Tamandua tetradactyla: one gene and its partners. The protein of the gene in region 4 purifies or fractionates together with the protein of the main gene of each other region. This does not show direct contact. Links are inferred from orthologs where the notes say so. Each region holds a gene or a part of one and is shown on either strand. Other genes may lie near its edges. The genes, in order: YBX1, DHX57, YBX3 and LARP7.

Evidence for each region.
Region 1: the proteins of LARP7 (region 4) and YBX1 purify together in Homo sapiens (affinity purification with mass spectrometry; 5 studies listed by BioGRID and IntAct, with this or other methods). This does not show direct contact. The link is inferred for Tamandua tetradactyla from reciprocal best matches to the Homo sapiens genes LARP7 and YBX1.
Region 2: the proteins of LARP7 (region 4) and DHX57 purify together in Homo sapiens (affinity purification with mass spectrometry; 3 studies listed by BioGRID and IntAct, with this or other methods). This does not show direct contact. The link is inferred for Tamandua tetradactyla from reciprocal best matches to the Homo sapiens genes LARP7 and DHX57.
Region 3: the proteins of LARP7 (region 4) and YBX3 purify together in Homo sapiens (affinity purification with mass spectrometry; 3 studies listed by BioGRID and IntAct, with this or other methods). This does not show direct contact. The link is inferred for Tamandua tetradactyla from reciprocal best matches to the Homo sapiens genes LARP7 and YBX3.

The regions. Positions count from the first base shown.
Region 1 is NC_135328.1:182,059,492-182,066,420, reverse strand, and holds the start of YBX1 (Y-box-binding protein 1), read left to right. Parts: upstream 1-3,925; 5' UTR 3,926-4,250; coding exon 4,251-4,416; intron 4,417-4,476; exon of another isoform or gene 4,477-4,528; intron 4,529-5,029; coding exon 5,030-5,093; intron 5,094-6,929. UniProt on the Homo sapiens protein: DNA- and RNA-binding protein involved in various processes, such as translational repression, RNA stabilization, mRNA splicing, DNA repair and transcription regulation.
Region 2 is NC_135343.1:10,124,883-10,132,158, forward strand, and holds the start of DHX57 (putative ATP-dependent RNA helicase DHX57), read right to left. Parts: upstream 3,010-7,276; 5' UTR 2,906-3,009; exon of another isoform or gene 1,826-2,905; intron 1-1,825. Other genes in the region: ARHGEF33 (rho guanine nucleotide exchange factor 33), read left to right, coding at 5,261-5,409, 6,379-6,543. UniProt on the Homo sapiens protein: Probable ATP-binding RNA helicase.
Region 3 is NC_135333.1:73,329,813-73,337,027, forward strand, and holds the start of YBX3 (Y-box-binding protein 3), read right to left. Parts: upstream 3,015-7,215; 5' UTR 2,771-3,014; coding exon 2,509-2,770; intron 1-2,508. UniProt on the Homo sapiens protein: Binds to the GM-CSF promoter. Seems to act as a repressor. Also binds to full-length mRNA and to short RNA sequences containing the consensus site 5'-UCCAUCA-3'. May have a role in translation repression.
Region 4 is NC_135350.1:9,642,805-9,650,481, forward strand, and holds the start of LARP7 (la-related protein 7), read right to left. Parts: upstream 3,005-7,677; 5' UTR 2,716-3,004; exon of another isoform or gene 2,453-2,715; intron 2,418-2,452; exon of another isoform or gene 2,067-2,417; intron 469-2,066; exon of another isoform or gene 409-468; intron 1-408. UniProt on the Homo sapiens protein: RNA-binding protein that specifically binds distinct small nuclear RNA (snRNAs) and regulates their processing and function.

The DNA of each region.
Region 1 (6,929 bases), on a different chromosome or scaffold from region 4:
AGTCAAAAATCTCAATTTGAATCCAGGGTCATTTAAACTATTGGTGTTCTTGAGAAATTTTCTTCCCCTTTCTGAGCTCAGTTTCCTCATCTGTAAAATGGGGATAATACCTAGATTTGCCTCATAGTTTTCTGAAAGGGTCAAATAAAAGAGAATAGATATGAAGGAATCGTTAGAAACAGTAACATGTCTTTGAAAATACCTCACCATAAAAAGATTCCACTGAGTATGTTTAAGAGGAAAAGAAAAAAGTTCTCTGGTGTTCCTTTCATGAAGTATTTTACAAGTTCTCCCATTCCTGACTTTACCTACTTTATTCCCATCTCATGGACAGGATGCTATCTATGCCTACTGGCAGCAGGTTACTGCAGCAGAGGTAGCAGAGAGCCAAATTCTATGATAGAATCTGGTTAAACATGCTGTTTCAGTATACTGGGAGACAAGGGGGGATGTGAGATATACAAGACCCTACAATGTAGATATTCAGAACTCTCTGTAGCCAAGTAAGCAGGGACCAGAGCAATCAGTAGGGAAGGAAGGGACTGTGAACTGGAGGAAGACAGATCTTCAGTTAACTAGGCAGAGAGGTGGGAAGGAGGATGAGCAGATATGTTCCTGAGCTGATATTCTTATGGGCTAACTATTTAGTTGAGTTCAGTCATACCTGGCACCTCCATTTTATGCCAGTCCCTGTCCTGGGCACTGGAGTTGCAACAATGAGTAAGATGTAGCCCATGCGTGTGACAGGAGACAGATACAGTTTCAGTTCAAGGTGGAATTAGAATGTGAGCCCTTACGAAGGCAGGAAATTGTTTACTGCTGTGTGTCCCCTCCCCCACTGCCCCCAGCACCTGGAGGAGGTGTCTAGTGTCTCATGGGTGCTCAGTTAAGTATTTGTTGCATGAATAAATGATGATGTTGGTATGTACAAGATGCTATGGGAGTAGAGTGGAGAGACTGCAGGTAAGAGGAAGATGTCAAAGAAGGCTTCTTGAAAGACTGACGTTTGAGGTAATTATTAATGAATTGGTTAGAAATAGCCAGGAGATGAAGGTGGAGAGGGCTTTCCTGGAAGAGGGAACTGTGTTCTTAGACAAGAGTCTGTTAGAGATGGGGAAGAAGGTGAAAGTTATTTTGCAAAGTAAATTCTTGAACACTCTTGCCCTTCATATCACTAAAAGCTAGGCAGTGAGGTTATCTGTGCTGTGGTCACCATAGGCCACTGAGCAATATGAGTGAGCCCTCAGAATGGCAGGAGGATCAGCAGAACTTTGGAGTGGGAGCTCTCACTTTGGAAGGAAAGATGTATTTCCACATATTATGTTATCTTATGGTGCTCCAGTAGTGCTAATATAGAGGTGACTACAAGGAAACTAGCTTTTCTGTCTTAAGAAGTTCATCTACACATTGGAGGAGCATAAAGAGAAAGCCCCTTGAAAAAGTAAAAAGTAATTGGATAAGTAGTGATACTTTAAAGTAACATTTTAAAGACATGTTTCAAAATTTGTATTCTGCTTGAGAAGCCATCCCTTCAAAGCAATTGCAAAGGCTGCTCACTTCAACAGTCAAAAGTCACCTAGAATTGGAATAGCAGCTTTGGAATCCACCTGCTTCTCTCCGTCCACACTGTGGCTCCAAGCCTTCTTTTTCATGTGTATTACTAATACGGCTACCCAGGAGACCTTTTTATTTCCAGTGCTGCCTCCTCCAAACCATTTTCCACACCATGTCATTCGTTTAACATATCAAGCTATTATATATGAAGCACATTGCTAGGTGGTCAAGGAAGACTTAAGAGCAATACAGTATCAGGAAGGGGTTAGTACAGGATGCTATCAATATAATCACACGGGGGAAACACCTGAGTGACATCTAGTACTCTATAAGTAAGCAGCCAGGACCTAAAAGTTGAAGAGTTAACCAAGCAAAATGAAGGGGAAAATGAATAATGTTATAGTCTGAGGGGGTAGCCCAAAGGAAGCAATGACTAAAAGATCACCTGGAAGATTGGGCAAGAATTGAAAGAGTGGAAAGGTAAGAGTTTAATTTGGTTCAGAGTCCTATAAACCACATTATGGTATTTGGACTATACCAAGGGTAATGGAAGTTACTCGAAGACATTAAGACTGTCAAGGTCAGATTGGTTTTTTCAAAAGAGCATTCTGGTGGTTGAGGTGGAGACTGTAAGAAGAAAGCAGTGTGTGTGTTGGGGGGTGGCAGCAACCAGTTAGGAGGCTAATGCTCTAAACCAGAGGTCAGCAAACTGACTAGCAAGCCAGATCACACTTGTTTTTCTATGGCTCATGAACTAAGAATGGTTTTTAAAAATTTCAAATAGTTGGAAAAAAGTCAATCTTTTATGTAAAAATTATATAATTCATATTTCAATGTCCATAAAATAACATTTTATTGAAACACAGCTGCACTTGTTTATGTATTGTCCATGGCTGCTTTTAAGCTATAATGGTAGAGTAGTTGAGATAGAACTGAATGGCCCACAAAGCTTAAAATGTTTACTATATGGTCCTCATTTTTAAAGTTTGCCTAATCCGACTGTAAATAACAGTTGATGATGGCCTAAACTAGAGTAGTGGCAGTAGGAATAAGAGACCGGACTGACTTAGAGATTTTTAGGACTGGTTCAGGGAGGCCTTAGGGGATGGAATTGACAGGCTGAGATATTACTGATGGGACAAGGAGTAACCTTTCCCATCACAACTCACAACTTTCTCTGCTTCCATTCTCTTGCCCATCCGCAACTCATTTTCCACTCAGCAGCCATTTTAAAAAGGCCATGCCCAGTCTCTAGCTTCCAACTCTTAAGTTACTCTTCTCACTACTGCCCTTGGGGGAAAACTAAAAATATTCCTAATTTGATCCTGCCTACCTCTTACAACCCCATGTCTTCATTCTAGCTTTATTCAACTACGTTACTCGCAGTTCCCCTGAGACAACCATCTGGTCTTGTTTGGGGTGGGGGTGGGGGTGGGGGGCTTCGCATAAACCGCCCTGCGCCTGCAAAGTCAGTGTTTCACCCTGCGTTCCTCCTCTCCCAAGATGCTTTGTGCTTTAACAACCGTGGCGTGAAACGGGATGTTCAAATTTCTGCCCAAATCTCCAGACTGAATTCCAGAAGGCAGAAACTGACTCGCTCTTATTCCATCTCCAGCATATAGTAGACGCTTAATAAAGAACGAATGGAGCCGGAGGACTTACGCAACATCAGGTCTCCGCCTCAATTTTATCGTTTGTGAAACGTGGACAGTAATCCCTACTTCACATGGCTGCTGTAAGGACAAAACGCAAGAAAAAATGCCTAGTTTGCTCAAAATACGAGTTGAAATCAGTCTGAAAAAAGATGTGAATTCTCAGGAAAGCACATTCCTTATATGCCAGATAAAATAGATCGGAACGCGGTCTCCAGGGAGCACACAGCAGCCCCCACCACCTCCCTAAATATGCTGAGCAGGGGGGGCTTGAGAGCCCGCGCGGTCCCCTGAGGGTGACTGCGCCGCCCAAAGCGGACTCTTCTCGAATGCATACGTTTAAGTCTGATACTGGAGAAACCCTCCGCTGTTCCCCGTGTATGCGGCCATTATGGAAAGCCCGCTGTATCCCCGCGGTAACACTGAGTTCACAGGACCATATATGGAGCAGGGAAGGAGGGAGGCTGGCAGTCCCTCCACAAGGGGCTAAGGTGTCACTGGGCCCCCTTCCACGCCGCAGGTCAAGCAGGGTAATTCCGGACCAGGCGTTTGGCCGCGCCTTTCCCTCTGGGCTGGCACAACCCAGGACGTAGAGGCCCGTGCGGACTACACCCTCGTGAAAGTCACGTTCTCTCTGCCCACCCTCTCTGGTTCTCTATGGTTCTCGTGGTGACTCTACCCTAATTCTAGTTCCGGTCTCTATGGCGGCGGCGGAGGCAAGAACGGTTGTAGGTCTGTCGAATTAGCCGCCTAAGAGCCAATGAGAGTAGAGGAGTGATAAAGTATTAGTCAATAGGGGCCAGAAGTTGAGGTCAGGTGGTGGGATTGACAGCACTGCTGGCCAGTGAACATCTTTAGGGCGGGCCGATCACAGGGCTTATCCCGCCTGTCCCGCCATTCTCGCTAGTTCGATCGGTAGCGGGAGCGGAGAGCGGACCCCAGAGAGCCCTGAGCAGCCCCACCGCCGCCGCCGGCCTAGTTACCATCACACCCCGGGAGGAGCCGCAGCTGCCGCAGCCGGCCCTAGTCACCATCACCGCAATCATGAGCAGCGAGGCCGAGACCCAGCAGCCGCCTGCCGCCCCCCCCGCCGCCCCCGCCCTCAGCGCTGCCGACACCAAGCCCGGCACCACGGGCAGCGGCGCAGGGAGCGGCGTCCCGGGCGGCCTCACATCGGCGGCGCCTGCCGGCGGGGACAAGAAGGTCATCGGTGAGGGCCGAATGGAGACGGGGGTGGGGCAGAAGGGGAGCCTGGCCGCGGAACCGTTACCCGAAGCGAGGCGAGGAGGCGAGCGCGCGGCGGGCAGGGACCGACTCCGCCGCGCGCGGCTGCCCCTCCCCCACGCCCCCCCACGCGCGCACTCCCCGGCGCCGGCCCGCGTGCCCGGCAGGCGCGCGCGCGCCACCGACCGCGTGTGCGGCGGGGTCCGGTCCTCGCCCGCCGTTGTTCCTGTCTCCCCCACCCAGCTCCCTTCCGCGTGTACCCTGAGGGCGCGGCGTGCCGCCTACGCAGGCCGGAGTGGGCCGGGGCGGTTTCCCCTTCCCTCACGTGCTCTCTCGCTGTCTTCTCGCACACCCATCTTGGACCCGCGCCCCAGGCCTGCCCGTGGGGCGTACCGGGCCATCCAATTAACCCACGTGTTCCGTTAAAGCGTCCTGGTGGCGGTAGCAAGGTCCTGGAAACGGGCTTTGAAGGGAAAGGCTGTCAGGTGGCCGCGGCCCGGGCGGCTGGGAAGCGTGTGAGGGACCGGATGCTGAAGTGTGGCTTTTTTAAAAAGAATACCTGGTAATTGTGGGGTTTTTTTTTTGTCTGTTTTTTCCAGCAACGAAGGTTTTGGGAACAGTAAAATGGTTCAATGTAAGAAACGGATATGGTTTCATCAACAGGTGAGATGACCGTCACTGAAGCTTCCATCCTCTTGCATGTTTTCTACTCCGGCTGTAGGTTTTGCGTGGCTTTATTGTTTTAAGGATATGGAGATACACGCGTGTTCAGGGTGTGTGATACCTCTAGTGTATTAGTGTGATGTTCGTTTTCCTTGATGACTGCAAGGAATAGTGATCTAGAGATTTTCTTTGTTTTGCAGTTGTATCTTAACTTCTGAGGCTTCATTGGGGCACAAAGCACTTTTAAAAGGCAAGCAGAGTGTTTGAGCCATACCGTAGCAGGTTAGGACAAACTGAAGAAACTATGGTCCAGTACGAATTTTTCAGTTATATTCGGGTCCACAACGTTTTTGTTCTTCTCATCTTTTTTGTATATTTTATTGAATTTTTATTGAAATGGTTTTGAGAAGGAGCCCCGTTAGGTTATTTATAACATGTTAACCTCTTGTGGTAAGATGTTTTGACACGTTAAGTGTATGCGATTTTATCATCCTTATTGTAAGATTATACTGCCTTTGTTCCAGTAGATGCTGTCTTTTAAATACCTCGCATGAAATCTTTTATTAGAGCTGTTTTAACAAAAGGGTGTGTTGCTTTATTTATTTTTATTTGTTCATAGGGTTAAGTAACACTTGTGGAAGAAAATAGTCCGTACCCGTCCATAATTTTTGTTTCTCCTACTTACCTGTCCCAAAGTCGAGCCATAATATTAAATCAAATTATTTTAAAGTCTTGGCTATATGTTATTAGACGGCTTTAGTCCGGATGCCAAAGTGTGTGGCTCTTCGTATTTCTTCATATCTGAAGGTGTGGTTACAAAACACCTTCAGCATTTATCCTTAAAATTGCCTGTAGTAATAGTGATGGGGAACGTGCAGTTGATTCACAGCACTCTGCATGGATCTCCCTTGTGAGCCGGGCATCATTTTCAAGATGGCTGCCAAGGCGAGTAGTGCAGATACATGGGTGTAGAGCAGTGTACATTAACGGGGATCTCGGGCTTACAGGTAGGATATGTAACACCATGTCAGCATTTTTTTTTTCTTCTTTTAGAAAGCTTTAAACAGGTAGATGTTAAAAGCATGTTTGAGAGTAAGAAGTAAAAGTAGAATGTTTGAAATGTACAGTGTACTGCAGGAAACCAAATGGGCAAGATCAAGTTTAAAGACTGACATAATTGATGAATGAAAAAGCATTCATCAGTCAACCATAAAATATTGAGGAAACACTGGAAGTAAAAGAGATAAGCATTTGATGGTCTGTCTTCCAATTTGCATTTTAGGGAAAACATTTTGATTCTTCAATATCTTAAGGAATTTTTCACCTTTTATACTGTAGCAGGCCAAAGCTACATATTCTCATCAGTTTTGTATGTTTTGATGATGGATTGCTAGGGAAGAAGGAAGAGAATCCATTTACATCATTGATTGACTACTTTTTAGTTGATTGATCTCTCAATTATTAGTGTTTCAGTTAGTATTTCATATTACTCTGATTCTCCTTTCTGGTCTAAGCTCTAAACCAGTGGTTTTAAATTAAGTGTGCTTACCTTGGAAGAGAATACCCTAATTTCTCCTTCAGAGCACCTGATTTAATGAGAGTTCCAGGTGATAGTCTGTGGGCCACACCTTGAGACACATTGCTTTTAATCCTTGATAATGTCATTATTTCTTGTGCACATTAGAAGAGGCTGTTAATTTGCATGTGCCTTTTGGGTTTTTTTGCATTTTTTTCAAATGGCACAGGTTATGATATTTTCAAAGTAAATAATTTATATGCAAGATGTAAAAGTAGTTCTTTACATATTATAAATAGTTATGCCATGAGATACTATTC
Region 2 (7,276 bases), on a different chromosome or scaffold from region 4:
TGTCTACAGGGTTAATGTATTTCTCTAATCTTGAGGTGATACCAATTATAACAAATGATTTGTATCTACTACTTCACCAACTATACCTAAAAATTTTAAAAATCCAAAGACTCTCAAGCTTCCTTTTACGCTACCTCTATTAGTATCCACAGAAGAAGTACAGAATTGCATCTCTTTAGAAACAAAGCTCTGCCAGTTTGGTAATATATATCAAGAGCATGCATGTCATCAAATGTCTTCAGTGCCTGTACCTGAATCCCAGCCCCAGACACTCAGAGACCAAACCCCGGGACCCGAGAATACCAGTATGAACACAGCTCTTTATGCCAGGCACAGCACCACTGGAAACTCAGCTCGGGGAGAAACTGTAGGTGATCTGGTCCTAGCTAGACAAAGGAACGCTGGGTGGGGAAATGACAAGGCCACTGAGATGATGGATTAGGAATACTTAATCCTCCCTTACTTAACTCAAGATTGGTTCCAAAGCTTAGCTTGAGATGTGACCAACATAGAAACACGCAGCTATCTCCCCCGCATGTAAAAGGGCACACCACACCACAGTTCTTAATAAGACTCTTAAATGGTTACAGCCAGCAGAAGCTATCTCTAAAATCCAGAAAGCTATTTAAAAGAATCTAAACACTTTAAGTATATTAGTCTTGAAATAAGTTAATTTTTTCCAATTATATCTGTTCCTCTAACTTGAATAAATTGCTACCCTTTGAACTACCACAATTTACTTTGGTATATTATTCAATAAAATGGCACTATGGGGCAATGTGACGGTGGCTCAGTGGCAGAATTCTCACCTGCCATGCTGGAGACCTAGGTTCCAAAAAAAAAAAAGGGCACTGTGAATTTCTGTAAGTTTGAAGTTTTCTATTTGCCCCCTCCACTATGGGAGGTAAGAATAGTCCTCATTTTACAGATGAGGTAGATGCAGAGAGGTAGAGGGCCTGGCAACACTCAACAGCAAGTTGGTGACCAGGTGGAAATAGATCCCAGCTTCCTGACTCCCAGATAAACTCTTTTAACCAGCCACACTCCATGCAGAGAGAAAATCTTAACAGACTCATGAAATCATCAAAATCAGGTCTTTATAGAAAGACAAATTCTATAAAGAGCTGCAGGAAATTACATCTGGTTTCCTGACATTTTAAAAATTGCATTTAAATCTACTTTACCATAGCAGATTTAAAAACTAAGATACTCTTTCCCAACTCATAAAATAATTGGTGAATATCAGTTTTGAAATCTATTATTCATCCCTCATTCAAAAGAGCAGAAGGAAGTGTGAGGGAAAGGGTTATAAAAGAGTCAGAATTTCTGAGTGCTAATTCCATGCCTGCTACTGTTTCTCTGAACAAATTACTTAATTTTATCTGCAAAACAAAGCAGCAGCACTGAATAATCTGAGAATATCTGTGATATTCTGATCCAGAAAGGCCCTACCCAAGCATATCTTTCTGGTAACATCCTTTTATAGCTGACATTCCAATTATGAAAGAAGCGTGCATGCTAAATTCCTGAGCAAAGAAAACTAAAGGACACTTTGTATAATACAGATGAGGAAATACGCTGCTTTACTATTAACTTATAGGAAAATCAATATATCCTCTTTATACATCTAAAATCATCATTTAAATAATAAAAAATAATCAATTTTCCAGATCGGTAAATCTCTAACTCGTTTAACAGGAAATAGTTTTATAAATAAGTTTTATAAAACAATTTTCAGATGCTGTTTCATTTTGCATCATGATTTTTAAGTTTATATGAGCAGCTAGAATAAACTTTGTTAGAAGTCAAAAAGGGGAAAGAGGCATTAAATAAATAAAATTGTATCCTTTCATTTTAAAATGTCAATTTAAGGAAATACTACAACCCATTTAAACTAACATTATTAAACAGCGGAAGAGTCACTGGTTTTACCAAATAGAGTGAACAAGCCATAAAAGAATTTTTCAATTTGGTGATCCCATTTCTGTATCATATCCCAGGCAACTGCTTTCAAGTCTGAATTTTTTATATAAAATTAAAATAATGTTTATGATGTCCACCTCTATAGGATATGTAAAATTTAATTATAATAGGAAATATGGCAGAACATGCTTGAGGGAGAATAAGAAAGCATATTTATCAGTACCTGAACCAGATTTGATAAACTGAAATACGGTTTCATCATTAATGCACATGCTAGCTTAGAAGTTTTACTTTTTTCTATGTTACATGGTATCTCTAAAGAAAGACATCTTGCTATTTTTTCCCAGAATGAGAGATCCAGTGCACAGGGAAAATAAGAATTATAACTTAAGACCAAAGCAAGTCCTAGGGTGAAACAGAGGAGTAGCAGGATGGAGCTCCCTGGCTAATGAAATGCGGCCTACGGCAGGGCTGTTTTTCTATGGGATCAGGGCAAGGAGAGGGCACATGGTGTCAGAAACAAGAATATCTGCTAGGACATGTTGAGCTGATGTACCATGTTCCACAGACTTACAAATTCTGATGACCTCATCAGTACTAAATACATGAGATTTGCACAACTTCACCAAATAAGACACTGAAATGTAAAGTCTGCATAAAGAAGGCCTAGCTTTTTCCACTGTCTTAGAAGCAGAACACAACACATGTTAGAAAAAAGAATACTGATCCAGCTGTGTTTCAGTAGTCCATTTCTACCTAAACTACTACAAAGGAAGAAACCGTAAAGTGTTTATGATTTGTGTAACTCAGAGGGCACAGACAAATACCTTACAACACATGAACCACATGTCTCTTCCCGCTACACCCAAGGTCTCTGAGCTTCCCGATCTGGTCAGGTGGTGCTACGACAGTGCTGGGGTGAAACACTTAAGGGAAAAACCTCTTCATGAAGCAAATCAGAACGGACAATCCTGTTACTCACAGTGTCGCACAAGGCCCGTGTAGGATTTACTTGTCCAGCAAGAAATCGTAGGAGCTTTCTAATATCTATGTGCTCCTCCGCTATTTGTTCTGGGTTTCTATCAGAGGCCAATGGAGGCTTTCCAACATCTTTGAAATGAGTTGTAAAACAAACTAATTTCAGTTTCTATTTTCAAGTTCAGCTCTCCGTTTATGTGCGTCAATATTAAGGTTGTTGCCGATGTTTTCCATTTCCTCCGCCACACTCCTCACTGTCTTCAACACTGGCAAATAAATACTAACATCAGAGCCTGGGGTTGTAGGTTCTTGTAAAACCTTCCCCAGTTTCCTCGGAATAAGCTTTTTTGGGGCCGTCATGTGTCACAACGCGAGTAGTGCTTAATACAGGGAACCGCTCCACAGAGACTGGGAGGCCGCCAAGTGTTTATTGGTCAGCTTGATTTTCAAAATTCAGGCATTCTGGGCAGTTTTCAAGGCACGAGATGAATTTTCCGGTGTCAGCTCTAAATAAATCTCATTGTTTTCTGCTGAGACGTCTTCCGTTTGAACTTCACCGAAGAATTCTCCGGCTCGAGCTCACGCCACCTACTCACTCCGCCATTATCCGCCTCGCCGGAAAGAACTGAGTTCAGCTGATCCCGGCTGAGGCAGAGGTTTGGCGAGCGCACGTATCACGTTACTGACTCGCATGAAGCGGGTCAGTCAGGCCCGGTCAGCTACCTGACCCGGACGGGCGGCCTCGGTTGGCGGACCGTGTCCCGTCCTGCCTGTCCCCCGGCGGGAACTGCGGCCGCGCTCCTTGGTTCCGCCGGCTCTGGACGCCCGTCCGCCCACGTACCTGTTCTTAGGCTCTGACATTGTCCTTGGACCAGTTAAGATGTAACGTTGTACAAACCTTTCCTCCTTGTACAATACGTCAGCAGCACCTCGGGGCTCCTGGGGTTCCGACCGGACCTTAGAGGGGCCTTTCTCCCAGGTCATGGATGCAGGCAGGTTGGCCCCTCTGTGGCGGGGGTGCCCGATGCTTGGCGCTCCCGGTGCATGCAGCGGCCGTCGGTGGGACGCGTCCCCTGCCTCTCCTCTAGCATAATGTTTTCAAGGTTCCTCTGTGTTGTAGCATATGTCGGAACTTCATTTATTTATTTTGGGGGCTGAATAATATTCCATTTAATGGAAATACATTTTGTTTATCCATTCATTTGTTCACTGACACGAGTTTCCACCTTTTGGCTATATTGAATAATGCTGCTAGGAACGTTGGATTACAGGTATCTGAGTGCCTGTTTTCAATTCTTTCGGGTATATACCTAGGAGTGGAATTGCTGGGTCATGTGGTCGTTCTATATTTAACTTTTTGAGGCACCGCTAAACTATTTCTGCAGTGGCTGCACATTTTAGGTTTCCATCAGCAAGTGTATGAAGGTTCCAATTTCTCCACATCCTCGCCAATACTTGTTTTACCTTTTTTATTTTTTATTATAGCCATCACAGTAGGTGTGAAGCGGTATTATGGTTTTAGATTTTAAAAGCATTTTTTACACAACTGTCTTCTTTCATTCTTTAAACAATCCTACGAAGTATCACTATTACCATTTTTTTAGATGAGGAAATCCAGGCTATGTGCTTCTCTAGTTTTTTACACTCTTTGGAGAGTGTCAAAAAGATTAAGTTACTTATCCAAGTTAACACATAAAAGTAGAACTGAAATCCAGATCTCTGAAGCAGTAGAGTATGGCATATAACAGCACTGGTTCTACTGTCATCTGACTTGAGTTTAAACCCTGGTTCCACTACTCACTGCATGTGTGATGTCATGAGGTTTACTTAACTTCTCTGTGCCTTGATTTCCTTATTGATTAAATGGAAGCAATAATTCTAACTTTCTAATAGGGTCGTTGTAAGAATTAAATGAGATAATATATGTAGAGAGTTTAGTACCTGGAAATAGGAAGTATTCAATTAATGTCAGCTTTTCCAAATCTTAGTGCAGTACCTGCACTATAGCAGAGAAGGCAATGCAATAGGAGGGGTCACCATGCTAGATCTGATTATAGGCATCTCTTCCACCAGCCTGCCCTGATGCCTAACACTGGTCTGACTCCTGGGGATTAAGGTACTGCTTATAGACAGCAATTGTTAGAATGCTTCCATTACTTTAGAGATCTGCTTTTTGAGATCCTTCTAATTTTTCAGATGGAACTATCTCATGTTCACATACAGCTCAAACAGCCAATCGTGACTATTATTTTCCCTTGGTATGATGGACAGAGAACGGCATGTTTGATCTTTTAGCTAATAATTAGATGGACTTTTCACTTTAATTATACAATGCTGCTTCCTTCTCTCCTCCATCTAGAATGTCCTGAAGTTCACGGAACAGGAACACCCTGACTATTACCTACTGCTGGTGTGTGTTCAGCGACTCCGAGTATTTATCTCACACTACACTCTGCTGTTTCAGTGCAATGAGGATTTGCTTATTCAGAAACGGAAAAAGCTCAAGAAGTAAGGTTCTGATGGTACAGTCTGGAGAGCAATCAAAGGTTTCTGGGAAGAGGGATGTACACCAGTCAATCTAGGTGCCTGTCACAAATAAACACACTGTGTGTGAAGTGGCTCAAATGCAGTGATGGGTAGAAAGGAAGTGGGAGAGAGAAGGGAGAGGCAGCCAGGCTGGCTATGGCAGGGAGATACATACTACCTAGTGGTATTTACTCTAGAAAACTAATTATTTCATATTAATGCCTATGTAGACCTCCTGTGAGCCCATGTTGCTGACTACCCCAAAAATAGTTCAATTCTATAAATTTGCCAGGTTCAAAATTGCAGTTCAAAGGCCAGAATGCAGTTACCTTCATTAATTCAACAAACATTTATGGAGCAAGTATTGTGCATTAGCACTGTTCTAGGTACTGAATATACTGCAATGAACAAAATGGACAAAAATCTGTGCTCCATGGAGCTTACTTTCTATAACTGAACAATCAGCTAACAAACTAGATGGTGATAAATGCTTTGGATAAAAATAAAGCAAATAGGGGAAGGGAGAATTGAATAGATTTTACACCGGGAAGAAAGAGGAAACAGATGAGGGAAAATCTGGGCACCAGAGGGAACTGAAGCAGTACAAGGCAGAGCTTTCTTCAACCTCATCCCAACCTACCTGCAGGAAAACAGAATATTCTTTGAGTGCTTCAGACCAGAAAAGAATGGTATCTCTCAAGTCAGCTCTCCTCTAATAGAGGGATTGTACCCCATGCCACTCCCAAGCTCATTTCGGCCAGTTCATCAGCATCACCACTCATGCCCAGCACCCAGTTTGCACCCTGCTGTGTACGCAACTTGGTTTGTAGAGGTCTTGGGAGACACAGAGATCTTCAGGACTGAGTGTCATCTGAGAAACACTTCCACAGCATATTCAGAAAGCCATTTTCCCACTTTACACCCTGATAACTATTACCTCCATTCTGTTAGGTCATCCATGGTGAAGCTGTACAAAGGACTGGCTTCCCAGTGTGCGAATGCTGGACAAGATGCTTCCCCCACTGCAGGCCCCGAGGCTGTCCGTGACAGTGGGATACACTCAGAAGAGATATTGCACTCCTACCCTTCTGCTCCCAGTTCTGGTCCTGCTGTCACGTAAGCACCTGTTGCTGTGGAAAAGTTAATGGCAATAACCTTGGGTCCCAGGCAGCCTGTGCGGGATAACACGCCAGCCTGGATTATGACCTACAGAACTTCTCCCCTATCAGACCTAGATGTGGTAGCCAAGCAGCTGACCATCTGTTGTCCAGAGAAAGGTAACAGTGGTAAGAGTGAAGCCAATAGGCTGGAAGTTGCTCCCAACAAGCTTACCACACACAACTAAGTCCTCCTTCAGGACGGGTCTCTAGGTTTGGACAAAAATAAAGTGGGGAGAGAATACTAAGAGGACAGGAGGGCATTTTATAGCTCCTCAGAAGTGTGGGAAACAAGTTAAAGTCTCTAAGGAGAAAAGAAATCCTCGATGGGGGACAGAAGTCAGGGTTCTGAGAATAAGAAATAGGTCTGAGGTGACACAGGAAGAATGTTGTCTAATCCTTTTCAATTCTCCTCGAAGCAATTTCCGAAAGGGACTTCATAAGTTCTCTTTGCCATTTATGTGTTTCTCTGAAAGCTGTTCTGGGCAGTGTAAGATTTTTTTTTTTTTTTTTTTTACATGGGCAGGCACCGGGAATCGAACCCGGGTCCTCTGGCATGGCAGGCAAGCGTTCTTGCCGCTGAGCCACCGTGGCCCGCCCTTTTTTTTTTTTTTAATTTTTAAAAAATTTTTTATTATTTATTTATTTATTTATTTTTTGGCAGTGTAAGATTTGACAGTCTTTTAAATTCT
Region 3 (7,215 bases), on a different chromosome or scaffold from region 4:
GGGCACAGAGTAATTTTGCTAGACTGATAAGCTTAGTAACTATTTTAGCCTTTTGTAAAAAAAAAAAACACAACAGAAAACTTCACTCATCCCGCTTTGATTAAGCATTCTCCATCTTTAATTCCAAGAAGTAAGGAAGAATTCTCCAAGAGATCAAACCATTGGAATCTTCATTTTGAGAGCATTCTAATTAGAGCAGCAGGGCATAGGAGGCAAAAAGTATGATGTTTTAGATCCAAATGTACACAGAGGATGTCCTTTTTGATAAATTATACACTTTTTAAGTTACACGTTGTTCCAAATGATATGCCATTTTTTCCCTCTTTCATTTGCCCAATAATTAATTACTTACAAAAATACTAGCTGTTGTGATTCATTTTTATATAATGCTTAGCCCTGTCAAAAGAATAGTCTTGATTTAAAAAACAACACTAAATAATTGGGGAGGGGGGGAAAGGAGAAATATTTTCAAGTCTAATTTCAATGAAGGCTGAAAATTATTTTTATTCCTCAATGTAGCTAAAACATTGTTTTCTCTAATTTCAAAAATTACTTCTAAGGACTTCACGTGGTCAAGCACATTCATTCAAACTTCTTGCCTCTTCAAAACCATAAACTGCCTCATATACACAAAGGCAAGAGGGAGAATGGTGGCAGCCAAAGGAAGACCAGGCTCCTACAGGGTTCAGCAGGAGGAAGTTTGGTAAATGTAAACCGTTTTCCCTGACCTAGGTGCTCTACACTGAATGTAAGGCCTGTGTTTAAAAACCAGAATGGGAGAAGCCCAAGTTTCCCTTTCAGACAGCACTGTGCCTACCACCTCTTAGGCACCAAGTGTCTGCTTGACAAAGGAAAACAGATGGCAGAATACGCTGGACAGAGACGGTGTTGAAATGTCATGTAGAAGATTGTCTTTCATTTCCAGAGTTGGAGGTAAAGCACAAAGACCAAAGACCTTGAGACAAATCACCAGGAATTCAGGAGAGTCTTAATAGCCGTCGGTGATTGAGGAAATTAACTTAGATTTATCTGTTTTCTTCATCTTTAAACTAAAGGTAATATCTGCTTGCCCTATAGCATAAGAGTACAGAGATCAGAAGAAAAACTGCAAAAGCTCTTATATATAAAATATCAAGAGTTATTTCTTAGCACTGTTTTAGATAACTCAGGATACCCTAACTCTAGTATTCCAAGAAACATTTGCAGCAAACAATACAATATTGACTGGATTTTTGGAAACTTTTAATCCAGCAAAAAGAGGGCTATTTTGTTTCTTAACCAACACAAGTTACATTTAGCATATTTGTTTGGCAGGAACTGAGTAAATGCACTGAAAAAAAAAAACAGGAAAACAGGCCTCTCAAGCTGGGTGACAACGAATCGTGTAATACTTTCTTCATAGTATTCCCTCAATTTCTTCCTAATTGGCAGGCAAGGTTCAGAGAAATTAGACTAACATGCCCCACCCAAAATACTTATGATGTATCTGAAGCATCCTACAACCACCTGTAACTTTCCACTTTAAGAAAGAGTGAGTGATTTAGGCACACACCCTGTAGTGAGCTTATTCACCACCCACATGCTTTGCAAGCCTGTGGAAGGCTTCACAGGGCGTTACTTCATGGAGGAGAGGACGCTGAAATATGTGGCAAAACCACCACCACCACAGAAACGCTTTGCCCCCATACTTGACCATCTCATCTTAATGTTTCCCTGCCTAAATCACAAGCCATAAGGTAATGATGTTTTGAGCAAACGTCATACCCACACTTCCGATAAAGTTTTTTCAGCTGCCGCGACACGTGTGTTCCCACAGTCTAGCAAAAGTGCAGCGATTGGTGGACACGTAATGGCTCTTGGCAGTAGGGGCACAGCGAGAGGGGGAGAAGACGTGGGACCTAGACCCAAGTTTCCCGGAGAGGATTACAACACCTATTAGTCGGCATGTGGCTGACAACAGCATGGTGTGTTCCCGATGCCCACGTGGGAAGGGCGTCAGGGACAGACAGCTGAGCCATCCCTGCAAGAAACCTTTCCACCTTGCCCTTCCCGCCTCCATCTGGCACTGCACTCCTCATCAAAGGAAATCTTTTCGTTTTCCCCAGATCCCAAATTAGGCCTCCAAAATCCCCGGCCCACGTTGTCTGACCCTCCCCTACATCCACATCCATTCCTACCCGGGGTCCCCTCCTTCCCAGACCGCCGCTCCTTCCCTCTTAGGATAAGGCGCCCTCCACTACGGGAATCCGCGACAGCGCCTGCCTGGAAGACAGAAGTTAAGTCCCCAGCTTGCTGGCCCAGAACCAGGAGGGACGCGCACTGGACCGCGAGGGGTGCAGGGCGCGGTGCGCTCTCCTGGGAGCGCTGCCAGGCAGGTGGACCGCGGCCCTTGTGCTGGGGACCCGAGGTCCCGGCGGACCCCGGACTGTCAGCCTCTCCCCGCCCCGAGCTGGAGCTGCCCACACGTGCTCGGCGGCCCGCCGCTCTGCACGCCCGGCCCTGACTCACCGAGAACTTTTTTCTCTGCGTCTTCGCTGCCGGCGGTGGCTGAAGAGGCGGGGGCCGCGGTGCTCGCGGTGCTAGCGGCTACGGGGGCCGCGTCCCCACCCGGGTTTCCTGAGACCAGGGCGGTCGGCGCCGGGGCCGCGGCCTGGGGCGCGCCGCTGCCCACCGGGCTCTTGGGCGCGGGATCCTGGGGGGCCGCGGCGGCCGCCTCCGCCGGAGCCTGCGGGAGGGTGGTGGTAGTGGTGGCCTCGCCCGCCTCGCTCATGCCGCCTCCTCTGCTCTCACTTGGGCACCTCGTTGGCGGTTGGTCGGCGGTTAGCGCGGCTGGTGGTCGCGTCGGCCGGGGCTCGCTCTCGGGGAGGCCGGTGCGGATCTCGCGGCGCAGGCGGCGGCGGCCGAGGTGGGGTCTCGCGGCGGAGGCGGCTCGAGCTCTCGGGCTGTGCGCCTGGATCTTGGGCTCCTCGCTCGATCTTACTGCCCCAAAAATGGCCCCGCACAAGTTTTTCTAGGCGGCGCACGGGCCCGGGAGGAAAGGGCGGGCGAGGGGAGAGGGTGGGGAAACTTGGCTCCAGAATTGGGCATCCAGTCTCATTAGCATTTAAAGGCGCCTGGTGCCCTTTCCAACTCGCCAGCCCGCCGGGGTTGATGCGCAGCCGCCCAGTTGGAGAGTAGAGGAAAGCAAGGGTGAGTAGGAGGTTTGATTGGCATCTGGAGTTTTCGAAGGACCATGAATTATGCTGTTCCTGTGTTGGAGCGGGACAGAGGGCTCTCCTCCCTCACAACGTCTAGACACTTGAAACTGACTCTTAGGAGACGTCAAATAGGACATCCACGTTGCGCTGCGCTTCAGTCTTTCACATACTCATTTTAAATCCTTTACATTTATTCATTCACATTTATCGAGCACCAGAAACTATTTCTGATACAGCAATGAAGACCTGAAATAAAATCCTAAATCTATTTGCCAATTTACTCCCCAAAGGTAGTTTAGGGATAAACTAATTTATAACACACAGGTGAAGTAACTGAAGTCCAGACCTCAGACAATGAATATCAGAGTTTAAGCCACTTTAACGCAAACAATGAGCTGTCAATGTGTTTAATTGTGTACTTGAAAAAACTTTTATCAATCCATGCCCTACCTTCTGCTCCAGTAGCAGAACAGGAATTCTGCAACTGAGCCCTCTTAGCTTTAGGGATAAGAAGTGCAGATACAGAACACTCAATAAAGGTTATTCCCAGTTTGAAAAACCCACGTGACCTGTAGAGAATGGGCTGGATTACGCTAAACTCATGACCAGAGGGACTGTGACCTGCCCCCAAGGACTATAAGGAATAAAGGATTTTTGATGTTCTTTGCCACTAGCGTCCAGCCAGGCCCAGGTATAAATTCTGGTTCTGCTCTTTATTAACTGAATTTACTTGGGCCAGGGATTCAATGTCCCCAAGTTATTTCTTCCTTTATGAGATGAGAACTGCTCAAAGGTGGGGTGAAAAGTAAATGAGATTGTCATATGTAACACCAATGTTAACTTTCAGTTATTAGCTCCCCTCTCTCCTAAAGCTTTTCCTTATGTTTTCCTACAGTGTTTATATAGCTGTCTGCCCCACTTTAGGAGTGTAGCGATCAAGTCTAATTCAACTTTGTATCCTCACTGGTTAGCGCAGTACCTAGCATAGGGTTAGAATATAGCAAATGTTTTTACTAAATGAAAAAAAAAAAAAAAAACCAACATCTTCCAAATTCAATTGCTTATCTTCACATTCATTATCAATTATGAAACTATCCTGCCTTTTTACTTTATTCCATCCATGAAAAATGCAAATTAAAGAAAATTGATTCTTAGAAAAAAAATAGCAAATTGTGGAAGTTTTGGTTTTTGCATGTAGTTAATATGTATATTTTTAAAATAACAAACTTCTAAAGTTAAATCCATATTTTCACTTGCTTTCAATATGAAGCATACAGTAATGCTATACATATGTGGATGCATTAAAGAGGCCGGTCTAATATTCTAAGCATGATTAAATGTCATCTTAATTTTAAAGGTTATAGTCTTAATTAAAATTATGCTGTACGTACGATTTATTCTGGCGAGAACTGGCCACTGATTTTTCCTACCCAACAATATGATTATCATTGCTATTTACCATGCACAATTTGACTGCAAGAAAAAAATGAAAGGGGTTGAACTCTTTGATCTCTGATCCAATAGTCAGCTCCCTCTTTTTTTTATATTCACTCTTGGAAAACAAATCATAACTAACAGGTGTTGTCTCCAACCTCTGGAAGACCCTAAAATAATTACAAATGCACACTGGGATTTCCTAGAATTTGTGCTGGAATGACTCCCATAACTACTCATCATTTTCATCCAAAAAAATCCCAGCAAGCAGCTGGGATTTTTGATACTATGCTAAATAAATCTAGAGAGAATTAATTAGAGCAGACATGATCTATGTTATTTTAGTAATCATAACTACAGAGCAGTATGTAGACAGATGCACATAAATTTATCCTTCCTCTGCTCAGTCGTTAATTCACACACTCACTCATTAGCACATATTTATTAAGCTGGCATATGTGGCAATGTGTGAAATTATAAGTATGCAAGGTTGATCAACATAAAGCTTGCTCTAAGGTTTTTCTTTATATTATATTAAATTATCTTTTTTTCACTACCATCAATTATATTGTAAGAAAAGTATCATTACTGCTTAAATTTGAGATTAAGTGGGACAAAAAGAATCATAATCTAATTGTTGACAGCAATCATTTTTTAGCAATGACTGGTTTGGTCATGAAAACAAAAGCCTCTCTGTTCCTAGTATGAGGGGAGTTAGAGCTTGCACAATTGTTGGAAGTGCTGGGGGAAGGGAAGTCGGAGAGGCTGCACTGAAGATCCCTGACTCCAGCCCCAAAGAAGGTGGTTCTCCAGTGCCCTCCTGAAGCCACTGGAATCACAGGATTTCTGGGAAGCACGCAGTCATTCAGGGCTAGATGCCAGTTTTGTGAGGCTCAAACCTTATACAATTTAGAGAGCACCTTTAAGAAAAGAATATAAAATTATGCATACAAAATAAGCAGGGTGGAAGAGAGGAGCCCTAAAGTTTGAACTTCATTTGTCTAATGGCATGCCCTCCCTGACACCAACTATCTCAGTTGAAAACACAGACCCAGTTTCTCTTCAAGAAGTTTATCTGGAATTAGCTTTGAACCTCCATCTGTCCGTGCATCTTCCAGTAACTGATTCTAGAAAGTAATGGTCTCCTGGGTGCCTTATAAATCTTGAGGGAGTGCTGCTCATTGACAGATTCCAATCTCTAACTACAGGAAAGGAGATTCTGGGGAATGTAGTTCTTACCTTTGAAGAGGCTAATGATGATAAGTGATAGGAGGCTATCCAGCATTATCACCCTAAGGAAGAAAATGCAATGAACTGACTAAGGAGATTTAGAATACTGCAAGCCATCCAAAGGACTAGAGCTTAAAGTAAGGAAGCACTGATAGATTAGCATATCTGAAATTGTAAAACAGTAAAGCATTAACTAAACTGATTGATGTCGAAACAACACAGAAGGGAATAAAAAAGTAGAGGAATAGGAGAGCAAAGATTTTTCAAGGTGTCTCCATCAATGTTAAAGGGGAGATATGCTCTGTTTGGCATTCACTAATAATGCATTCCACCCATGTATTGATCATTCACTTTAGGAACTAAAGATATCATGCATAACAAGACAGGAATGGCCCCTGTATTCAAGGAGTTAGGGTCTAGACCAGCACCGCACATTTGAAATGTAATTTGAGCCTTCAAAATGTGAGCCACATAAGTACTCTTAAATTTTCTAGTAGCCATATCTTAAAAAGTAAAAAGAAATAGTGAAATTAAATTTAATACATTTTATTTAAGCCAACATATCAAAAATATTTTCATTTTAATATTTGATCAATATAAAATTGTTGATAATGCATTTTTTTGGTGCTGTCTTCAAAATCCAATGTGTATTTTACAGTTTTTACACACCTCATTGTGGCTGGCAGCTACCAAATTGAGCATCAGAAGTCTTCTAGACAACTAGAAAGTTAACCTGAATGATCCCCAGAAGCCAATTTACCTGTGGTTATTGTGAAAAAGCCTGGGTTTACAAGCTGGACCATACATCAATCTGATAATCCTTCAAGATAATGCTACCTGCTAGGGTAACTTGAGCTTCTTTCATGACATAGCCAAAAAATTTAAATGAACCGTAATTCTGTAATTCTGAATAACTATGAAAATGTCATTGATAAACTCTAGGGTAAGCACTATCCATTAAAGTTGATTTACTATCCATTACCCTTCAACTATGTTCCATGCTGCCACACCCTTGTATACATACACTCTCCTTTAACTTTAAGTAATATATATTGACATACCAAAGTGAAGATATATTTTGAATTTTTTTCCTTTTCAATAAGAGAGCTAAGAGTGGGGTGGGGATTCACTGTGTTCAACCCTTCCCTATGGGAAGTTGGATAAAAGGTTTCAGAAAAGGTACCTGTGATATTAAAAGGCAAATTGATCATTTCAGCATATGTTGGAACAAAAGCTCCAGGTTCTAAAAGACTTTTTTGCACTTATTTTGCTTCTAATTTTTTTAATGAACTATTTTGACAGTGTCTTCATCTTTCTTTAAGGACTAGTAAATTGCACACTTTTGGTGGGAGCG
Region 4 (7,677 bases):
CTCGGTTACCACTTTCTTTTTTGTCCTCTTTATCACTACCTGTAGTTATAATTTTCCTGTCTTTTAATCTCACTCGGAATGTAAATTCTTTGAGGCCAGGGACTTTGGCTTGATCACCACTTAAGTAGTTGCTGAATAAAAGTAAATATATTTAACAGCACCTTATAAAATGTAAAGTATTAAGCATTTCAAGTGCTTCTGCAAATGGGAGGATATACATAAAATACAAATATAGGATATGAGTATCACTACAGTTGGCACCATTACTAAATTTCCCATACCAACTAAATTATAAAGGGCAGACTATCAGCTAATTCCTTTCCTTATCAAAGGCTGACACCTAAAGGAAACGGGACAAAACTGCATATGCACACAAAGTCACAATTCTCCCAGAAAGCAGATATTTACCATCATTCTCATTTTTCAGCTGAGAGACCTGTCTTCACTTCTTCTGCTAAAATTATTTTTCTGGATTGGGTGAATGAAATAAGCCAGACTTACAAAAGGACAAATGTTATATGTCAGTGATATGAAATAATTAGAATAAGCAAACTCACAGAGTCAGAAACTACCATTGCCAGGGGCTGGGGTGGGGGTAGGGAATGGGGAGTTAATGATTAATTGATACAGAGTCTCTGTTTGGGATGATTTTAAAGTTTTGGTAATGGATGCTGGTGATGGTAGCACAACATTGCACTGTGAACATAACATTGTGACCAGCACTGAACTACATATTTAAATGTAGTTAAGAGGGGAAATTTTAGGCTGTATAAATGTTACTAGAACAAAAATTAAAAAAATATATATCCATAGGACTATATAGCAGAAAAAGTGAATCCTAGAGGAAACCATGGACTATAGCTAATAGTACAATCATAAAAAAGTTCTTTCATCAACTGCGGCAAATGTACCATACTAATGCGAGGTGTTATTAATAATGTGGTATATGGAAACTGTACTTTATGCAGGATTTTCCTGCAAATCTATAACTTCTCTAATAAATATTCTATGGATGATCAAACAGCTTCAGTTTAGAGGGAAATTTAGATGAAGCAGAAAGTAACATAAGTTATGGCACAATTTACCTCCCCTACACAGTGGCTGCAGAGGTTCAGGAAGTTACAAAGCAGTACTTTTGTTACAGGCTCACACTTTCTTGTACTTTATCAATATCAACAAATATGTGTACTTTCATTACAGGCCCAAATCAAACTTAGTTATCTTACCTCCCCAGGCCTGTTCTTCTTCCTATCATCATCATCTCGTTTAATGATACCATATTCCACCTAGTAAATCAATCTAGTTATTTACTAGCTGTATGGTACTTGGGCAAATTACCTCACCTCTCTGTGGTCTGTACAATGTGGATAAAAATCTTAACTACTGAATAGTGTTTTTATTAAATAACAATTTATTAAATATTTTTAATAAAGCATTAAAATTGTTACATGGTACACAATATATATAACCATATGGAAAAAGTTTTCTAAACCATTCTAGAAATCATCCATCCTACATAGAAATTATGCGGCTTGCGGTAAACACAGAGCTGAAGGTTCTTTGAAGTCAACCTCGAGTCAAAACTTTCAACAGTAATTTCTTAGCACCTTCCTGTAACATAGGAAGTAGTATAGGGTCCTACACATTGCCACTAGGCAAATTTCTGTTCTAACTTGGGGATTCTGAACCTGAAATATTTGGCACTATACGTGGGTTTCAAGTTTTTGTGAAACCCGTGAAATTCTTAAGACATATTTAAAAAAAATCGTGATTCCTGTACACAGATAAAATGAATACATGCCAAAGGTCCTATGTAAGTAATTAATGGATCAGTGGTTAAAAACCATCTTAAAGTTGAATTCAATGAGCAGACATATAGATTGGCATTCAGAGATACTGAAGTCAATTTGCTAAATCAATTTGCTAATAGCTGTAAAACTGGTGAGAACAATAATTAATTGCCTCTCCACTGTACAAAACTAAATAGCTTTATTATCAGTTTTCTACAATTTACACAGTCGTAAAATAGCTCAATAGTAATGAAAAGCATATGTAACTTTGAACACCTGGAATTTCTGCCATTTCAATGTCTTTGCCTTGCATGAGTGTTCTCTCTTGTTTTATAAACCTCTATTCAGCATTCAAGGACAAGTTTAAATGTCTTCTTACGTTCTCTGGCCTCCCACCACATCTTCCCTAATTGCTTTCTCTAAGGATCCCCATTAATGCTGTCACTATATAGTGTTTTTAACGCTTATAATTTGTGAGTTTTCTTCCATAACTGGATTTTCAACTCTGTGAAGGCAAGGACTTTCCTGTAAAAGAATAAAACTAAATTTTGGAATACAAGTCCCTACATTCCCTATACTTTACTGGCCAACGCTCAATCCCAAATTCCAGAAATTAGGAACGTTCTCTACACTCTACTACCCGTCTCGGTACCCGTACTCACGTACAGACGCTGCTAAATGTGGGGCGTGTCCCAAACCTCCCAACGTCCGACCCTAGGCGCCTGCACGCTGTACAAACTGCAAAAGCCGCCAGAGAACTGCGCGTGCGCAGAGACAACTCGTACTGGTGAAATAGCGATGGGTTCGTGAGAAGGGGCGGGGTGAGAAAGAAAACAGATAACAGAATGGACAGCAAGACAAAAGAACTACGAGCATTTTAGACCTTCCCCACCCTGACCGATTCTGTGGTCCACGTGCAACTTACTCGATCCAGTTCGCAAAACAGAGGGTCAGAGACTACGTCCTTCTACCCTTTCCGCCTTCGGAGCTTTACAGTCGTGATGACTCGGGCGTCATAGGATGAGCGACACCAGTCACCCACCCACGAGACAGACCAGGAGGCGGCGCGAACGTCATTTAGCTCTCAGGCTGGGACTGGCTGCGGGGGCGGGGCAACGGGGAACGCGACCGGCCGAGGTGGCGCCCAGCCAGTGAAGCATTTGATTGGCCGTTTGAAAATGGCGGTTCTCGTCGAGGGGTTGGTGGGCGGGCTAAGCATTGGGTCCTGATCTGGTGAGGGCCCAGGTGAATGACGTCATCTTCCTTCGCGGGAGAAATTCGAAAGCATTTGGGCTATGAACAGGTGAAGTGAATTGTTTTGGTTATTTCTGGGGAGTGAGGCTGGGGGGCTTGAGCAAAAGACCGCATCGCTGATTTGGGGCGAATTGACGAAAGAATCTGCTCCACAGGAAGCGGATTGGAAGGAAAGCTGTGCGGAACCTGGTTTAGAGGGGGTGGCAGTCACAGATTGCCTGGAATAATTGGTGTCTTTCCTTCACTGCCCTTCTTTTCTTTTTTATTTAAAAACAGAATTTTCTTGAAACGTTTATTAACATTTATAACAAATCATTCGATCTTTTTCACAGTTTTTATGAAGTTTTTAAGAATTAACTATTTCAAAAGTATTAATGTAAGCCAGTCAGATATGAATAAAGCTTAAAATATATATATTTTATAATAATATCTACGTTCTTTCTTGGGATGATAGTGGTATTACTGTAATAGTATTAGGTTTTCTTATTAAAAATTAGTTGTTTTCAGGATGAATCGTTATGAAATCTTGATTTTTATTACTCTGCAAAGATGGGTAGAAACATTTAAAATTATCTTTCAGGTTCATGTGAACTATTTTATAGAAAACCATTCAGTATCGAGGGTTCTTTTTTTGGTTTCCAGAATTTGGCTTTATTTTGCAATACAGAAATCATTGGGAGCCATTTTGAGACAGGCATCATTGAAGTAGAGGCTCTGTCAAATCAGTGATGCACTGCAGATGATCCACTGAAGAAGCCACACCTGGGATGCATGATGCTTCTCATTATGCCTGCTTTATGATAGGTATTTTCCCCCCTTTTCTCTCATCAGTTTGATTAAACACCACAAGTAACCATTTGTCCATCCAAACGACTCTCAAATCTGGAGTTTGGCTGGAATTGTATGCCCAAAGAAACCAAACTTGTGGCTTAGTATCAAGGGTTCTTTTTTTTTTTTTTAATTTGTTTATTAATTAAAAGAATTAACAAACCAGATGAAACATCAACATATATAATCAGTAATTCACAATATCATCATTTAGTTGCATATTGATCATTTCTTAGAATATTTGCATTAGTTCAGAAAAAGAAATAAAGACAATAGAAAAAAATAAAACGAACACAGAAAAGAAAAAAAAAAGATTATGCCTACCATACCCCTTACCCCTCGCTTTCATTGATCACTAGCATTTCAATCTAAATTTATTTAAACATTTGTTCCCCCTATTATTTATTTTTATTCCATATGTTCTACTCATCTGTTGACAAGGTAGATAAAAGGAGCATCAGACACAAGGTTTTCACAATCACACAGTCACATTTTGAAAGCTATATCATTATTCAGTCATCATCAAGAAACACGGCTACTGAAACACAGCTCTAAATTTTCAGGCAGTTCCCTCCAGACTCTCCATTACATCTTGAATAACAAGATGATATCTACTCAATGCGTAGAAATAACCTCCAGGATAACCTCTTGACTCTGTTTGGAATCTCTCAGCCATTGACACTTTGTTTCATTTCACTCTTCCCCCTTTTGGTGAAGTAGGTTTTCTCAATCCCTTGATGCTAAATCTCAGCTCATTCTAGGGTTTTTCTCAATCCCTTGATGCCAAGTCTCAGTTCATTCTAGGGTTTTTCTCAATCCCTTGATGCTGAGTCTCAGCTCATTCTAGGATTTCTTTCCCACGTTGCCAGGAGGGTCCACATCCCTGGGAGTCATGTCCCACATAGACAGGGGAGGGTGGTGGGATTGCTTGTTGTGTTGGCTGGAGAGAGAGGCCACATTTGAGCAACAAAAGAGGCTCTCTTGGGGGTGACTCTTAGTCCTAAATTTTAAGTAGTCTTGACCTTTCCTTTGTGGGGTTAAGTTTCATAGGAACAAACCCCAAGACGGGGGGCTCAGCCTATAGCTTTGGTTGTCTACACTGCTTGTGAGAATATCAAGAATTCAACTTGGGGAAGTTGAATTTCTCCCTGCTCACACCATTCCCTGAAGGGGGCGTGCAAATAATTTACCACTCACTGATCAAATCACACTGGGATTCATTGGGGCATCACTCTGGACAAACCAACAAAATCTCATGTCCTACCTGAGATTCCAAGTACTTATGTTGTTCAATCAAACTGTGTAGGCTATATTAGGAAATGCACTAGTCAAAATATAAATTTTGTAACAAACATTTTTTGCTTTAGTCTCACACATAAGGTGACATTTTAAAATATTAATACCATCTATTTTCAGCACCCTGCAATAATGACATTCCTTTGTTCTTCCTCATGCAAGAACATTTTAAAAATTAGTATCAAGGGTTCTTATGTAAAGTTCTAAAAGTAATCTTTAGTTTCCAGTTGAACTTTATACTTAAGATATATACTACAGGCAAACTCACTGCCCTCCCCCTCTCTATGTGGGAAATGACTCCCAGGGGTGTGGACCTTTCTGGCAACGTGGGACAGAAATCCTAGTATGAGCTGGAACTCAGCATCAAAATATTAAGAAAACCTCAACCAAAAGAAGTAAGAGTGAAATGAGGCAAAATAAAGTGTCGATGGCTGAGAGATTCCAGACAGAGTCTAGAGGTTATCCTGGAGGATATTCTTATGCATTATATAGATATTACATTTTAGTTAAGGTGTAATGGAGAGGCTGAAGGGAACTGCCTGAAAATGTAGAGCTGTGTTCCTGTAGCCATGATTCTTGAAGATGATTGTATAATGATATTGCTTTCCCAATGTGACTGTGTGATTGTGAAAACCTTGTGTCTGATGCTCCTTTTATCTACCTTATGGACAGATGAGTAAAATTAATGGATTAAAAATAAATAAATAATTGGGGGAACAAATGTTAATATAAATTTAGTAGATTGAAGTGCTGGTGATCAATAAGAGGGAGGGATGGGGGTATGATATGTATGAATTTTTTTCATTTTCTTTTTATTTTTCTGAATTGATGCAAATATTCTAAGAAATGATCATGATGATGAATATACAACTGTGATGATATTGTGAGTTATTGATTATATATCAAGAATGGAATGATCAAATGGTTAGAATGTGTTTGTGTGTTATGGTGAATTAAAAAAAATAATTAAAAGAAAAAAAAAACAACATCTCAACACCTCCTAATTACAGTAACACATCTGGAGCCTCCAAACCAGCTTACTCTTTAGGCCTTAGAAGTAGGTCAACACTTGAATTATTTGTTAGACTGGACAGATAAACACTGAAAAAAATGTCTCATCCTTGCATCTCATAATTTGATGCTGTTGTCTAAAACCATTTTTTCCTATTTAAGGGTAAGAAAGGGATGCCAGCTCTCCAATGAATATAATATTAGGGCTCTTCTGAATCTTTATATTCTAGCTAGAGTTTTTCTGACGTTTAATTCTATAATCTCATTTACCATTAGTGAGAGCTTTTTAACCTTCTCTTAGTTCCTTCTGAATTGTAAATTCAAGCATTAAACTAATATTGGGAAAGTATGGGAAATTTATCTTGCAACTCTAAAATAGTATATAAATAATCCTAAATTTAGTAAACACTGAATACCTAGTCTGTAATTGTGATGATAATACCTACTCCTTGGGATTATGAGGATGAAAAATATATGTACAATATCTAGCTGAATTCCTTACTGACACCTTATCGGTACTCAGTAAGTAGCTAAATAAAATAGTATTTGTGAGTATGAGCCCCAGAGTTTAGACTGTTTGGTTTTGAATTCTCACTCTGCTATTTATTTACTTTACAATATTGAACAAGTTCACGTATACCTGTTTCCTCTTGTAAAATGGAGATTAAAAATAGAACCTACACCATAAGGTTGTTGTGAACATTTAAAGCATTTTTAAAAAAAGTGTCTAACATACAGTTGTACAGAATAAATGATTGATATTATTAGGAGATAGAAGATTAATAACTGCCACATGCCAGGCACTATGCCTACACTGTAGAGTCTCTAGATACTTAAAATGTCCAGCCCGTTCAGTGGCCAGGAGCAGGTTGCTCAAAAAGCACCAGCTAGTGATAGGTGTTTCTCTGGACCCCTCTGTATCTTAGCATTTGTTCGGCAGCTAGCCGTTCCTGTGGGCTGGAAGGAAGAATTATAGAAAGTCGAGATTTAATACTTCTGAAAGAGTGCCTCAGTAGGTCTGGGTCCAGTCCAGTGACCTGTGTCCTGGGACAAGTATTCATATATCATTTGGCTGCTTTTTACTGCATACTTTCACCACACAGCAACCAAGAATGATCTTTGTAAAACCCAAATCCGATTGCATCCTTTTATTAAAATCCTTCGGTGGCTTTCTGTTGTCTAGTTCCTCGGTATGACACATAAGGCCCTCTCAAAGCTATTACCACTCACTCCCTCGGCCTCTTTGCTTATAGCTCTTTCATTACCTTTTACTTGACCCTTTAATCATAACCATTTAGAGTTCTCTTATCTTGCCTTGCTGTATCTCCCCCAGGTCTTTGCACATATTGATTCCTGTCATGAAAGACCTTCCCTGGCATTTTCTCTTTGTTAATAGTTATTTCAAGTTACACCCTAGACATTGCCCCTGGGAAACCTTGTTTGATGCCCTAGACCGAGTTGAGTGTCTTATTTTTAACATATTGTTTCCAATTTTATT